2 linked regions of the Caenorhabditis elegans genome follow. The protein of the gene in region 1 purifies or fractionates together with the protein of each later gene. This does not show direct contact. Each region holds a gene or a part of one and is shown in the gene's direction. Other genes may lie near its edges. The genes, in order: coa-4 and mltn-1.

What was found.
Region 2: the proteins of coa-4 (region 1) and mltn-1 fractionate together in Caenorhabditis elegans (co-fractionation; one large-scale study listed by BioGRID). This does not show direct contact.

Annotation. Positions count from the first base shown.
Region 1 is NC_003282.8:9,331,670-9,338,074, reverse strand, and holds coa-4 (Cytochrome Oxidase Assembly subunits), read left to right. Parts: upstream 1-2,472; 5' UTR 2,473-2,473; coding exon of another isoform or gene 2,474-2,549; coding exon 2,550-2,701; intron 2,702-2,745; coding exon 2,746-2,809; intron 2,810-3,272; exon of another isoform or gene 3,273-3,446; intron 3,447-3,517; coding exon 3,518-3,616; intron 3,617-3,669; coding exon 3,670-3,828; intron 3,829-3,872; coding exon 3,873-4,103; intron 4,104-4,375; coding exon 4,376-4,552; 3' UTR 4,553-4,778; downstream 4,779-6,405. Other genes in the region: slc-25A51 (Solute carrier family 25 member 51), read right to left, coding at 100-243, 329-546, 595-667, 714-764; T20D3.14 (CHCH domain-containing protein), read left to right, coding at 2,188-2,288, 2,343-2,424, 2,474-2,566.
Region 2 is NC_003280.10:13,138,187-13,147,393, reverse strand, and holds mltn-1 (MLt-TeN (mlt-10) related), read left to right. Parts: upstream 1-2,168; 5' UTR 2,169-2,236; coding exon 2,237-2,478; intron 2,479-3,274; coding exon 3,275-3,426; intron 3,427-3,614; coding exon 3,615-3,783; intron 3,784-4,515; coding exon 4,516-4,871; intron 4,872-4,955; coding exon 4,956-5,080; intron 5,081-5,736; coding exon 5,737-6,327; intron 6,328-7,420; coding exon 7,421-7,915; 3' UTR 7,916-8,050; downstream 8,051-9,207.

The DNA of each region.
Region 1 (6,405 bases):
TACTTTTGGATTAAAAAAAATATATTTCGGAGTTAAGATATCCGAAATATAGTTTAGATCAGTAAGTATTTTAATAATTTTTGATAGTTAACAAATTACCTTCGCTTGCATATGATTCTTGATAACACCTAATGGGAAAAATGCTGTAGAAATGGTTGCTCCCAATAGAGATCCAGCTACGAAATCACCAATTAGTTGCTGAAGTGATTCAGGAAGACGTCCAGCTTGTGGGATTCCGACTATCTGAAACACAGATATTATAGGAAAGTATTTTTTAAAATGCTACAAGCAAATCGTAAATTATAATATCCCTAGAAAATAAGCTCACTTTTTGTTTCAACGGATCTCGAAGAGTGAAGAAAATTGTATTTGAAAGACTATTTCGGATGAGAATAACAGAAAATCCTCGATAATATTCCCGATAACCATAGTCGCGGAGACGATTGAAAGTGTGTAATGTGTTCTTAAATTTGTCATGAAATATTGTTGTTTGAAGAAGTACTTGAACCCGTTCCAGCGGGCAGAGCATTGCTTCGCATACTCCTGCTGAAAAATATTAATTTTAAAGAAATTAATGGTTAACTGATCACTTACACAGAAATGCAGCTTGAGCGTGACAAATTGAAAACGAAGAGTTCGGAGGTGAACGTGGACATTTTAAGGAGATCTAAATTATTTATCCTTGTTAATATAAATATTTCATGTAAAATTACCTGAAATTCATCATATAATCCGTACATTAATGCTCTACTCGTCGTTCGCATTATTAGAGGAGGTAATAGTCCTCTGTACAACTTTCCAACGCCTTCCAATTTGATTTGTTGAATTGCATCTTTCACGTGGAATCCATGAAGTTGCTGTCGAAAGATGATTTTATTTGATGGATACAAAATGCATGTTTCGATGCATCCGGCTCCCCATCCCGCCAAGAAATCCAAATGGTTTCGATGAGCGACAGTGGTCGCCGGGTCCGCCGACTTCCGACTGCTCTCCAGCGTGATTTTTGCGCGGAATTCGAGCTTTTATTACCTGAAAAAGTTTAATTTTTAATAACCAGTCAAAGTTCGAAAAAGAACGATTTTTTGAGCATGAGACAAGCTTCTTGTTGACAAAAGATAAAATTAAGAAAATATTCTTTAGAATTTTCTAGGCCACACCATTTCGCGGGCAGAAAAGACAAGTTTCATCAAATTAAACCTATATACAGATCAGTTTTCAATAAAATACACATTTTGTTCTTTAAATACATCAAAAAACAGCTCCAAAAGTTTAGAATAAGCTTTAATTCGGGCTAGAAATAAATTAAATATCCAAATTTTTCGACGGTGGCCGTGGCCGATATTCTTCTACACGAACTCCTCTCGGACAACAAGATTGTACAAAATTTTTTTCGATTGTTCTGTTTCGTTTTTCAGAGAAGAGGTTTCATGTTTTTCTTTCGAAATTTCGTTTGTCTTTCTTATTTTCAGCCTTTTTTCCTCTTGTAATCCTATTCCAAGCAGATTGTTATTCGCTCAAGCCAACTAACCAGATTTCCTCAAACTTAAATCGCTCATATCTCAGCTCAAAACCATCGCAGAAGCTTCGTTCTTTAATCAATCGATCCCAAATTTCAAGGAAATCTCGAATATCCCCATCTCAGGTTTGAGGCAAAGCCGAGAACCTGCGCAAGCTACCTTTTCGGGCATCCCCATTACCGAAGGGCTGGCGCGGCTCTCCGATTTGCTAGTTTTCATATTAAAACTATATTAAAAAAGCTTTTTACAAGTTCAAAAATAAAATAACGTGTAAAACACGTGGTGGACAGCAAAGTCGCTTGTTAAGATTATCAAAAAATGTTCCTAACTAGCGGAATAGTTCTGCGGCAATTTTTCACCGTCGCAGCCAAGGTTGCGTGCGAAAATTTCACCGATTATCGAAAAGAGAAAGAAAAAGAGATAACGCCGAAGTATAATCAAAATTGAAAATTGAAAAAAAAACCGAGTTGTTTCAATTTTAACTACTCTTGTGTACTTCACTCGGAAAATCGGCACCCCGAGCGATGTACACTGCAGGGTTCTCTCAATGCCTGCGTCTCTTTCTAAACTCCAAATCTCTCATCCTACGCTTTGTCTGTCTTTTCTCGAAAACGTTGCTTCTTTTTATTTTTCAATAAAATACCAAAGAACAGAAAATTGTCACAGGGTAATGTCAACTGCTGCTCCAACTGCTACTAAGGAAGCACCAAAATCTCCTCATATTTGGACTGGAAACGCCGATCAGGAAGACCGTGTCGAGTCACTCATAAAGTATGAAATATGATGCAATTTTTTTGAAATTTAAAACAAAAATATTATTTTCAGGAAGTCTGGGTGCTGGGATCTTCATCTAAAAGTCTCGGATTGTATGGGAGAACATAGAGATTGGAGAAAGTGTCAAGACGTGGTTTGTTTTCTTCTTTTTTCTTTTTATTATTAAAAAAAATATACTTTAGGTAAAAGAATTCAGAACCTGTGTTCAAAGCGTTCAAGTCGGTGAGCCACCAAAAGAAGAATCAGAAACAAAGAATAATGGATTTTCTCAATGATTTTGACCCTTCCGATGACGAAAATAATTGTAAACATCAAGAAAAACCAACTTATCTACCTTTCAAACCGAATTTCCATGAAAAATATTGGTATCGTAATGCTTTAAAAGAAAATCAAACAGCGACTGCAATAACGTAAGTTGGATTAATTTTTATTCACATAAAACTCGTAATTTCAGTGAAATTGACTTGTTCCGAGTGGCTGATTGTTATCATAATGGGGATTTCGAATGCGCTGAAAATGTAAGAATCATTCATTTTTAAATTTTTGGTTTTAATCCGAAATTTGGCTGGAAGTTATGAGCCCGGTGTTGACACGACAATTTTTTGTTAAATGCGTACGCATTTAAAGTACTTTAATTTCAGAATTTCGCTGCTGCGGAATTTTCATCGATTTTTCATTGTTTCTCTCTAGATTTTAAATTCAAGGTTTTTATTGTTATATATTTCAACTTCAATAAGAAAACTATATTTTTCATCAAAAAACTACGAAAAATCTATAAAAATTTCTCCAAACAAAAGCTTGAAATTACAGTACTATTCAAAAGCGCACGCCTTTTCGGATTTAACAAAAATTTGTCGTGGTGAGTTAACTTTTCAGAAGTAAAAAATTACGAAATTGTTTGTTACAAAAATAAACATAGAACAACCTGAAATTCTTTTTAAATTTAAAAGTACAAAACACAAAACGCCACTGAAAAGATCTAAAAATTTGGAACGCTTCACGAATTTGCGTGTCATCCGTGCGCAGGGGCCATGCTAATCTTCTCTGTATTGTTCCAATTTTAGTATATGTTCTAGAATTGGAACAATACAGAGAAGATTAGCATGGCCCCTGCGCACGGATGACACGCAAATTCGTGAAGCGTTCCAAATTTTTTGTGACGTTTTATTGGTGTTTTGTCTTTTTACTTGTAAATCATATTCTAACTTCAAAAGTTTCAATTTTAGATTCTCACCGGGCTCCGTGAAAGCACGAAAAACAATCGTACACATGAAATAATGCTAATCGATTCTCTTCTCCAATGTTCCATCAAAAAAACATCGGAGGTAATTTTATTTTTAGTATATGAAACTATAAATTTTATATGATTTTTTTTCAGCTGTCTTCACCTGAAACTTCAATTTCTCTACAATTTCTTTCCTACTACGAATCCATTTTGGTCGATTTTGGTGATCAAATTCAGTTTCTACGAACAAAAGCTTTTCTTCTCTCAAAGTTACCTTTCACATCAAACTATCAGAAAGAATTCAAAAACACGGTATTTTATCGAATGCAAACATAATACAACTCCGAGTTTTCTAGATGGCACTTCTTTGTCAATTGTGTGGATCATTCGAAAATTGGCAGCTTTTTGAAATCGGCTCAAAATATTTCACGAAGTTGGAAATGTTTGGGCTGAAATTGAAAATGAAGAAAGTTTTGAAGTATGAAATCGATCATTCCAAAGGATTTATTCAGGAGAAATTGAAGAAGAGATTGGAGAAAATAACAAAAGAATTAAATGAGTTGGAAGGAGAATTGGAAAGTAATATTGTGAGTTATCAAATGTAATTTAAAAACATTTTATAAATTGTACCATATAAAATAGTGAATATTATTCCCAAAACCTCAAAGTGATCTAGACATTCATTAGCAATCAATTCTGAACTTTTGTGAATACATTTTTCTATATTTAAAGTATGTTAGTATGACTTCTCTAAATATAGAGTTGATTTTATTTTAAAAAAACCTAGAAATTATATTTAGATAGAAATGCATTGCCATAGTTCCCAAATTATGAATAATTTCGTTATCTTCAATTTCAGATCGAATCAATTCACTCTTCTATCAACTCTCACAAAGACACCACAACAGTCGAATCCACTCCAAATTCAGAATTTCGTGCTCATGAAAGTCGCTCCAAAAACAAATTAATTCCAGTTTCAGATCAACCAGCCACAATTGAAGACTTCTTTCATCGTTTTCCATTTTTGTCATTTTAATTTTCTAGGCTATTTTGTTAGGTTGTTCATTGTTTCATTTTTTCTCTTATCGTTTAATTGTTACTTGTATTTTGTTGGCTTCCGTATCTGAAAATTTGCAATTTTCAAAAAGTTCATTACTGCAAACTTGCATAACAAGAATTGGGAGTGACATACACTCTCCCCAAACCATTTTAACAGTTTTCCTTTTTACGAGGTGTGTCTCCTCAATAATCATCCAGTTAAAAAGCATTCAATGTCCACGTAATTCGATTTGATAACCTATACTGATATGCCAAGGTGATATCAAATGTGCTGCGACGACACGATCATATAATTTTTGCCACGATTCGGTGTGTATGCACACGGTCGAGAATCTTGACGACGCCCTGCCCTTTTTTTGAGTCAGCTTCTCACTTTTTCTTTAAACGTCACTTTTTCAAATTTTACCGTTCTTTTTTTAATATTTTTTTGAAAAAAAACAAGATGTAAAAGTTAAATTTATTTTCAAAAAACTTCTTATACTGAAAATCTAAGGTTTTTGTACTGTTGGGAGAAAATTTTCAGTAGTTTATTTGATTAAAATAAACTAGATATTCCATACGGTCGTGATAGAACCGCTTTATCTTCTGCCTTCTTTGCATTCAACTTTCCGCGCGAGAGGCGAAGATTCGAGCCCCCGTAAAACGACTCAGTACAGCTCCATCCTTCAGCTTTGCTGTTCTGCTAATTTTTCCTGTTCTCTTGAATATAGTTGTTTCACCAGATATGTCAAAAAAATTTATGTTTCACATTTTCCAAGTTTTTTAAACGGTGAAGTATTAGGTTGGTCCGGAAGTCTTTATAACTTTTTCAATCGTTTATTTCTCGAAGCAAGAGAAACGATAGGATACATTTTATTCGCTATCATTATCAACAATATACTGTCTACGTGTGGGCAACTTATTAATGCCCTGCTAACAGTACCCTTCCGGGCGCGAGTCGAAATAATGCTTGAGTGCTACATTGGCACTTTTTTGGGTATTGAAGATTCTCCGCTCGTGGACACGGGTCATATTTGAAAACGACTAGTATTCAGATGGAGTGAGGTCTGGAGAATACGGTGCGTGAAGGAGAACCATCCATCCATGGCTGGTATGTTCCTACTTTTCCTGTTTCGAGAGGTGGGAACTAGCGTTGTTTTGCTGAAAACAGAATTGCTTGTCCATCAGGGGTGAACCATCGATGACTTCCTTCATGTTCCATGGTTAGATAACGTAGATGTCCCCACTAATCATTTTGCCCTCAGGCAGCAGTTCCCAGTAGAAAGGGCCCTACACTCCCCTCCACACTGAGAGCATGCCTTTTTTGGGGTGAAGGTCGGGTTTGGCGGCATCCTGTGGTGTCTCTCATTCTCCAATCCACTGAGCACGCTTGTGGTTGTTATCGTAGAGGACCCACTTCTCGTTACCAGTAATGAGTCGGCCCAACCATCGATCGGCCCCGTGGAAAATGAGGAGGGAAAAGGAATCACCCACTAAAAAATCAAGATTCGCCTGTGTCAAGGTGTGAGGTATGAATTGACCCATAAGTTTCTTTATTCCAAGAGGTTCCCAGCCTCGTACAATGTTGGTTTGACGGGACCCAAGTGTGGTTGACAGCTCACGGGTGATTTGGAAAGGATCCGTTGCCATGGCTTTCTGCAACGTGTCCAAATCCAATTTATGGGGTCTCAGAGTCTTCGAGAGAAAAGTCGTCCTTCTCGAAGCTTTGGAACCAATTGCGTATGATATTATAGTAGGGAACATGTGAATCATAAACATTCTTGAGGAGACTTTCCGAATCCTTCATCGTGGTATGAGAGAGGAAGAGGTACATCAAACCATATCGGATGT
Region 2 (9,207 bases), on another chromosome or scaffold:
ACTGAATTACCGTATAAAACATACTCCATCTTTTCCGAAAGTCTGCCCTATTTATTTATTCCAGTCGGAGAAAAAGGCATGGTGGGAAACTCAAATTTTCTAAATTCTAGAACTTTCTAAAAAATCTGAAATTTTCTAGAATTTACAATAAATTTTTATAATTTTAAAGAACATTGTTTCAAAAATGGTAAATAGAAATTTATTCTCTGAAATGAGAAATTTTGATAAATTAACAGTACACAAAATTTTTGGGAGTCGAAAATAAGTTCAAATCAATCGTTTTATTCTCGCATTTTTTTTTAAATATAATAAAGCCGTACTAATTTAAAATTTGATTTTAAAAATAAACACGATTTTTTTACTACGAAATGAGCTACAAAAATCAAAGACAATTGAAGATTTCACAATTTTTTAAGATGAAAAAAATATTGAAAAATGTTAAATTCCGAAGATAAGAAATCAAACTTTTTTCTTTTGTAAAAAATATATTTGTTAAATTTTCGGCAAATTTATTTTCCGGCAAATTCGGCAAATCGGCAAATTTTCGGTTTGCCGATTTGCCGGAAGTTTTCATTTTCGGCGATTTGCCGATTTGCCGTTGCCGGCTCAAAATTTGGCGGAAGGTTTTAGGCGGATTTTTTAAAGGACGGAAACACTTAAGACTGTGCATTTTGAATTTTTTTTTCCGTTTTCTGTAGATATTTTCATAGAATTTGCTTACTTTTCAAAATAGATGTAGGAACATTCATGAGAAATTAAAGTGCACACAAGAGACAGCTATACTTTAAAAGCCGAAAAAGAAATGTAAGTCATTGATTGTTCAATTGCCGTTCGGCAAATTTTTTGTCGACAAATTCGGCAAATTGGCAAATTGCCGATTTGCCGGAAACTTTTATTTTTGGCAATTTGTCGATTTGCCGATTTATCGGATATTCTCAATTCCTGCAATTTGCCGATTTGCCGGAAATTTTGATTTTCTGCAACTTGCTGATTTGCCGGAAACGTTCATTTTCGGCTAATTATCGATTTGCCGGAAACTTTCATTTTCGGCAAATTACCGATTTGCCAATTTGCCGGAAATTTTAATTTTCGGCAAGTTTCCGGTTTGTCGATTTTCCGGAAATTTTCATTTTCGGCAGTTTGCCGATTTTCCGAATTGCCGGAAATTTACCGATTTGCCGGTTTGCCGTTTGCCAAACATCAATTTGCCGGAAATTTTTAGAGGGAGTTTTTAGAAGACAGAAACACTTGAAACTGTGCCTTTTTGAAATTTTTTCCCGTTTTTTCTAAATATTTTCATAGAATTTGCTTATTTTCGAAAAAGATGCTGGAACATTCATAGAATGCGTACATTTTTGCCGATTAAAATTGAAATTCTAAAGCTTAAAAAAATTGAAAAACCACAATTCGGCGAAAATTTTCGAAAATCTCCGTTTTTCCGGCAAATTCGGCAAATCGGCAAATTACCGGATTGCCAACAAAAATTTCAATTCCAACGATTTACCGGTTTGCCGATTTGCCGGAAGTTTCAATTCCGACGATTTGCCAAAAAATTTTTAATTCCGGCAATTTGCCGATTTGCAGGTTTGCCCAAAATTTAAATTCCGGCAAGTTGCCGATTTGTCAAAATGCTAAATTTCTGCAATTTGCCGATTTGCCGATTTGCCGGAAAAAATCGTTTGTAGTTTGCCGCCCAGCCTAGTTTACCGGTACACTGTGTGCATAAATCGTAATCAAATATAGGGATCCTATTGGATATCACTCGAGAAAACTGAATTACCGTATAAAACTTCTAATCCTTCCAAATCCGAAGAACCTGAGAAGTTGTCAAACACACATACAGGGAACAAATAGTTTTTCGCATTTTCAAAGATAAAAACCAAAACTTGAATCCTTTTTGACCGCCCCCCCCCCCTTCAAACTAGCATCATTGAAACAATGCGCATTCCACGTGATATGAACACACACATACACACTTCAATCTTTATCATCAAAATCGTGAAAATCAGGATCAAAATGTGGCCACCTGTTATGCTATAGATCTTGGTTCAACGGGATCATCTCCCATCCTTTGAGAACATCTTCTCTCCTCGTCACGGGAAGGCACCGCCCAGCAAGTGATAACCACGTTTTGGAAAAACTTTCGGGATGAATCCGAAAACTCCGCCCTCTTTACATCCAGAAATCCATAAAATCACAGGGAATCCCTTTTCTCTGGTCTCTGGTTTACCACATTATGATCCTATTCCCTATTATTTTATTTCTAACACTTCTACCGTATCCATGCACCTGCTTAAAAGTTAAATCGGAAGTAGATGTGACAAAATATGGGTTGACGCAAAAAGAAATCTTGAAATCTCCACATTATAAAGACAAAGTTTTCAATGTTCCCATGTCGACAGAGTCTGGAGAAGAGCTCTTGGAGCATTGGGCGGTTCAAGGATTTTCCGGAGTTGTCGCAGCGATTGCTACAAGAAGGTGAGATCAGACTTTGTTATTTTAGACCTAAAATGGTCTAAAGCTACCGAATTTTGTGATGAGACGTTCTGAAAATTTTTCAAAAAAAAGTTATGGCCGCTCAAAGTTTTGGAAAAAATGATCTTTTTTTTTAGCTAAAATCTCAAATTTTGGCAACTTTTCGCGGCAATTTTCGACCGGCAATTCTACAAAATGAGACAGTTGGGCATGTTCCCCATAAATTTTTCATTAAAATTTAATGATACAATATAGAAAAATATTTGCTTTATTTGAAAATAACTGTTATTTTAGTAGAAAAATCTCCAAAAATAGTCTGAATGTTGACAATTGCCGGTTAAAATTGCCGAAAAAGTGGCGGCAATTTTCACCGGTAATTTTCAATATTCGGACAATTTTTGAACACTTTCTCGGTTGTTCCAAGTCAAATAAAAGTTATCTTCAAATAAAGTAAATATTTGTCTATATTATATCATGAAAATTTAATGAAAAATATTGTGGGAACATGTCCAACCATCTCATTTTGTAGAATTGCCGGCTGGCAATTGCCGCGCACTCTGAAAAGTTGCCGAAATTTGAGATTTTAGCTAGAAATTGACCATTTTTGCCTAAACTTTGAGCGGCCATAACTTTTTAAAAAATAAATTTTCAGAACGTCTCATTACAAAATTTGGTAGTTTTGGACCATGTTAGATCTAAAAATGGCAATTTCTCAAATTTCGTTACTTAACATTTAAGAAAATACGCATTTAATGCCACGAGCAATTTGTTAAATTTGTTAAATATATTAATATTTCAGACTAGCCCTTGTTGAAGACTACCAAAAAAAGAGCCATGAGAAATGCTCATCCGAGGCTGAAACTCTTTCGGAGCACGCAAGTTGCTTGCTCAAGCTAGAAGACGACGCACATAGAAATCGATTGGTTCATAGGAGAAAGCTCTTCAGCAGAAGTGAGCATTTTAATTTTACGTAGTTTAAAAGGTAAACATTTCTAGTTGACTTGAGAATTTCTGAAGAAATTTTCCCAATTTTGCCCAAATTTTGCCCAATTAGTCGGCTTGCTGTACGAGCTGACAGCCAAAAAAAAAAATCAGCTAGCCGTTCAGCCCTGATCCCCACTGTACTGAACATATTCCAGAGATGCGTCGCCGAATCGATAAGATGGTTACCAACACTACAATGACTCCAATAACTGAAAAAGAGATTCGGGAAGATAAAGAATGGATTGGGTCATTCAAGTTTCGGGCAAAACGAGAAATTAGAGTGCACACCAGAGATAGCTATACTTTAAAAGCCGAAAAAGAAATGTAAGTGGTTGAGTGTTGGCGGCAAAAATTGTTTATTGACAAAAAAAATTGGCAAATCGGATTGCCGGTTTTCGGCGAATTATCGATTTTCCGGAAACTTTCATTTTCGGCAAATTACCGATTTGCCAATTTGCAGGAAATTTTAATTTTCGGCAAATTTCCGGGTTGCTGATTTTCCGGAAATTTTGATTTTCGGCAAATTGCCGATTTGTCGGAAATTTTGATTTTCGGCTATTTGCTGATTTGTCAGAAATTCTCAATTCCGGCAATTTATCGATTTGCCGAATCGCCGGTTTGCCGGTTTGCCAAATTGCCAGACGTTTTTAAAGATAATTTTTATAAGACGGAAACACTTAAAATTGTGCCTTTTTGAAATTTTTCCCGTTTTCTTTAGATATTTTTATAGAATTTGCTTATTTTTTTCAAAACAGATGTAGGAACATTCATCGAATGCGTACCATTTTGTCGACAAAATTTGAAATTCTGAAATTTCCAAAAAAGTACAAAACCACAATCCACTATTTGTCGACAGTTTTCGGCAATTGCCATTGTCCGACAAACTCGGCGAATCGACAATTTGCCGGTTTGCCGGTTTTTCGGAAGTTTTCAATTCCGGCAATTTTTTAATTTGCCAATTTGCCGGAAGTTTTCAATTCCGACAATTTGCCGATTTGCCGATTTAAACAATTTGTTTGCTGCCATAAAATATGTATAAACCGTAATCTGTTCTAGGACACCATTCGGCCTGGTAACGAGACATCTCTCTAGCGCTGTGAAACTTCTCAAAAAGACGGACAAGGTGTCAAAGTGGCAAGATACTATCGAACGAATCACCAAGAAAGCCGAAGAAATCAAAGAGCAAAAGAAAATGGAGGATTTTATGCAAAAGAGAATGTCGATTTATGCAGATGCAGCTGAAAAGATGAAGCAGAATAAGAAGATTGCGAAGGATGATAGTTTAAAGGAGTTCAACGATTTGGAGCAATTTATAGACAATGATCAGATTAAGGAGGTGTTGAGGAATAGGAAGAATAAAATGACGGAACAGGAAAAGTTGATGATGATTCCGATGAAAATGATGAGAGATGGTTAGTAATGTGAAAATTTTTAATTTGGCCAAAAGATATATTTTTACAAAACGAAACCTTCTAATTATAATAAATAAAAAACAGCCGCCAAGATGGGATTGGAAATGTCGGGTCACAATACAACAGATTTCGATCGGAAAATTGTCAGAATTATCAGTCCACGTCTTATGAGTGTGATTCCACAAGAAGAAGCTGCAAAGAATAATGAGGTAAGGGACAGGCGTGTGCGGCAAATTTGGCAAATTTGCCGAAGTTGCCGAACCCTAACGATTTCGGCACCCGGCAATTTTCGGACTAGCCGAATTTCAAAAGTTTCGGTCGGCCAAATCAATTTTGGCGACCGGTAGTGGCCAAAATTGCCGCTTGCCGAAAAATTCCAAAACCGGCAATTTTCAAGTTTGCCGAACCATAACAATTTCGGCAACGGGCAATTGCCAAAAATTTTCAAAACCGGCTATTGCCGAAATTGTCGATTGCCGAAAAATTCCAAAACCGGCAATTTCCAAAATTGCCGATTGCAGGAAATTTCGAAAACAAGCAAATCTCGATAGAAAACAAAAATTTCCAAAACCAGCAAATCTCGAAAAAAATGCCCAAAACCGGCAGTTTCTGAAATTGCCGATTGCCGGAAATTTTCAAAACCGGCAATTTCCGAAATTGCCGATTGCCGGGAAATTTCCAAAACCGACAATTTCCAAAATTGCGGATTGCCGAAAATTTCTAAAACCGACAATTGCCGAGAGTTTCCAAAACCGGAAATTTCCGAAGTTGCCGATTCCAGGGGCGGCAAATCACGAAATTTGCCGAGCTCGGTCAGTTTGGCAAATTCGGCATATTTGCCGGACACAATGTTCGAAATTTACAGATTGATCTCCTCTCTCCTTCACTATTTGCTCTACACGAGGATGGCTCTGGAGTAGAAAAGAAAGCATCACTCGGAAACATCCTAGGATCTCTCACCGATAACAAAGACTCTCAGGATTTCTTGGATTTTATTGTGGAAGCAACTGGTGTCAATGAAGCGATGGAACGGGTTGAAAGAAAAATCGGAGAGTATCGAAGACTCAAAGACGATGCGATGGGAAGAGGGCCTGAAGGTCAACCGTTGTACTTCACAAAAGAAAATGTAACAGAAAAATATCCGCATGAGGCGAGGAAAATCGAAATGTTCGAGTCTTTGGATAAAACTTATACCGATGAGCAGCTCAAGGAGATGAACAGAACAGGCTATACTATTATGAGACATGATCAGATGGATTTGATCTACGGGAAGGGATCAGTGGGGGAAAATGAGAAGTTCTTGAAATTGGCAAAATCAATGAGCAGACCACAAATCGATAGAGCTATTATGGGAACAATCAAGGACTTGGCACATGAGAAAGTCAAATTTGAGGCAAAGAGAAATGATATTATTTTATCACCGATCACATTTAGTAACTTCATTTTGGATCCAGTGGTGAGTTAACTGGCCTGTGCGCAGGGGTGCATGACAATTGCAGACCGGCAGTTCTACAAAATTAGACGGTTGGGCATGTTCCAACAATATTTTTCATTAAATTTTTTATTTTTTTTTCATTAAAGATACAATATAAAAAATATTTGCTTTACTTGAAAATAATTTTCACTAGACTTTTAAATAGCGAGAAAGTGTTCAAAAATAGTCTGAATGTGGAAAATTGCCGTCAATTTTTCGGCAATTTTCACCGGAAATTTTCAACATTCAGACTATTTTTGAAGATCTTTCTACTAAACTAACAGTAATTTTTAAATGAAGCAAATATTTTTTATATTCTATCATTAAATTTCAATGAAAAATTTATGGGGAGCCTGGCCAACCGTCTCATTTTGTAGAATTGCCGGTCGACAATTGCTGTGCCGGTCGACAATTGCTGACTGTGCAGCAAACATACAAAACGGCTTCAATATTTTCAATATGATAATCCAATTTTTTAAATCTAAAATAGGTATAGAAGTGTAGAAAAATGTTTGTTCTATCTGAAAATAATATTTATGTTTGTTGAAAAGTTTGAAAAAATTTTCAAATAGTCCCTGGAAGTTATCGTTTGCCGAAATACTTTTAACGGCATTTTTTTCAGCAAACGGCAACTTTCTGGCACAACTTGAGGCTTTTTAAGAGATTTTTCAACAAATATAAATGTTATTTTCAGATGGAACGAATTTTGTTTAATATATAGAAACATGTTTGTATATTCTGAAAAGAATTTTACTTTTCAGTGAAAGTTTTGAAAAATTGCTCGAAGACTATCTTAGTTTCGTAATGTGCCGATCAGGGCTATCTGAAAATTTGCAGAGCTCGGCAAACTCGGCAAATTCGGCAAATTTGCCGTTCTTCGCAAACTCGGAAAATTTTGATTTTTAAATATTTTTTGGAGCACCAAAATTACTGTTATTCATAGAAAAATTTTGAATAGTGTAATATTGCCATTATCAGTGGCTCTGTCTCAATTTTCTCAAAAATCGAACGCTCTTACTTGAAAATCTGGAAAATTTATTCAAAATTTTCCAACAAAAAATCTCCCATATTGCAGGCTGTCTCCCAACCGGCAATCCTGTCTCCTGTCATGCTGTCATCACTGATCCTCTCTCCAGCTGTCTACGGAGTAATGATCCTTTCCCCATGGCTATTGGTACCTGTCATTCTTTCCCCGCGTCTTCTATCACCAGTAGCTGTGAATCCGTTCCTGCTGGTTCCGATCATTCTATCACCTCTAGCCTTTAACCCATTCATCCTGTGCCCAGGATCCATGAATCCATTCGTACTTTCCCCGCTCATCTTCGCCCCATTCATTCTCTCCCCACAAGTACTGACTCCACTGATCTTGACTCCGTTCTGTCTCGGACCAATTATTCTGAACCCACTGGCGTTGAGTCCCCTAGTTCTGTCCCCATTCGTCTTGTCCCCGACAATCCTCTCTCCTCAGTATGTGACTGCTGTCGTGCTTTCTCCATATGCTCTGAGCCCCGCGTGGGGATCCGATGGAGCTATGGTCACCGTGTTTGCCTCTCCAAGTTGGCTTTCATAACATATATATATATATATATATATATACTTCACTTGTGAATTTATGGGTCATATATCTAACTTCTCAATCTACAACTATTACATGTACAATTTAATAATTGATTATTTTTAATAATAATAAAAATATAATAATTTTTATTTTGACTTACACTAAAACAAATCCAGACAAGATAGTCTAAAGAAAATATTTTTTAAGCTGTTCGAAAACTGGTATGAGAGTGGATAAAGATTAGTTTTCTGAGCGTCTAACAAATTAACAAATTACATCAAGATACATTAAGTGCTCCTCTCAAGCAAGGAGTGTTCGGCAAGTTAGCCAAATTTGCCATTTGCAGACCTCGGCAAATTTTGAAATTTGCCGCACAGATTTATCTTGCAGCATTAGGCAAAAATCGAGCGAAAACCAGTGAACTTAGTTTTTTTTGCATAATTTTTTACACTTTTTGAGCTCCAAAAAATATTGCCATATTACTAAGAGTACGGTAAAGTTGCCGAATAGTTCTGCTTTTCCAACCGACAAAACTGCCGATTCGCCAAATTTGCCGGAAAAACTGCAATTTGCCGAAAGTTTCCGGCAAATTGTGGGTTTGCACTTTTTTTTTGGAAATTTCAGAATTTCACATCCTATGAATGTGCCTACATTTATTTTGAAAAGTATGCAAATTCCATGAAAATATTTAGAAAAAACGGAAAAAAATTCAGAATTTTTTCCGCAGTTTTAATTGTTTCCGCGTCTGATAAAAAAATCTCTCTAAACATTTCCGGCAAACGGCAAATCGGCAATTTTCCAAAAATAAAATTTTTCGGCAAATCGGCAAACCGGCAATTTGCCGATTTGCCGAACGGCAATTGCCGCTCATCCCTGTCTCTCACTGAAAAAGTGCCCATCTACAAAATATTGGCAATTCACTAAAAATTTGGCAACTTGCCAAAAATTGCCATTTCACTAAAAAATAGGCAAGTTGCCAAAAATTGCCATTTCACTATAAATTTGGCAATTTGCCAACAATTAGCACTTCACTAAAAATTTGACAATTTACGAAAAATCGGCAATTTATTTAACTATTGCCAATTAAAAAAAATTGGTTCACTGAAAAATGGAAATTCACTAGAAATTTGGCAATTTGCAACAATTGGCACTTCACTAAAAAATTGGCAATTTGCCAAAAATTGCCATTTCACTAAAAATTTGCCAATTTACGAAATACTGGCTATTCACTAAAAATGGAAATTCACTAGAAATTTGGCAATTTGCCAACAATTGGCACTTCACAAAAAATTGCCAATTTCTGA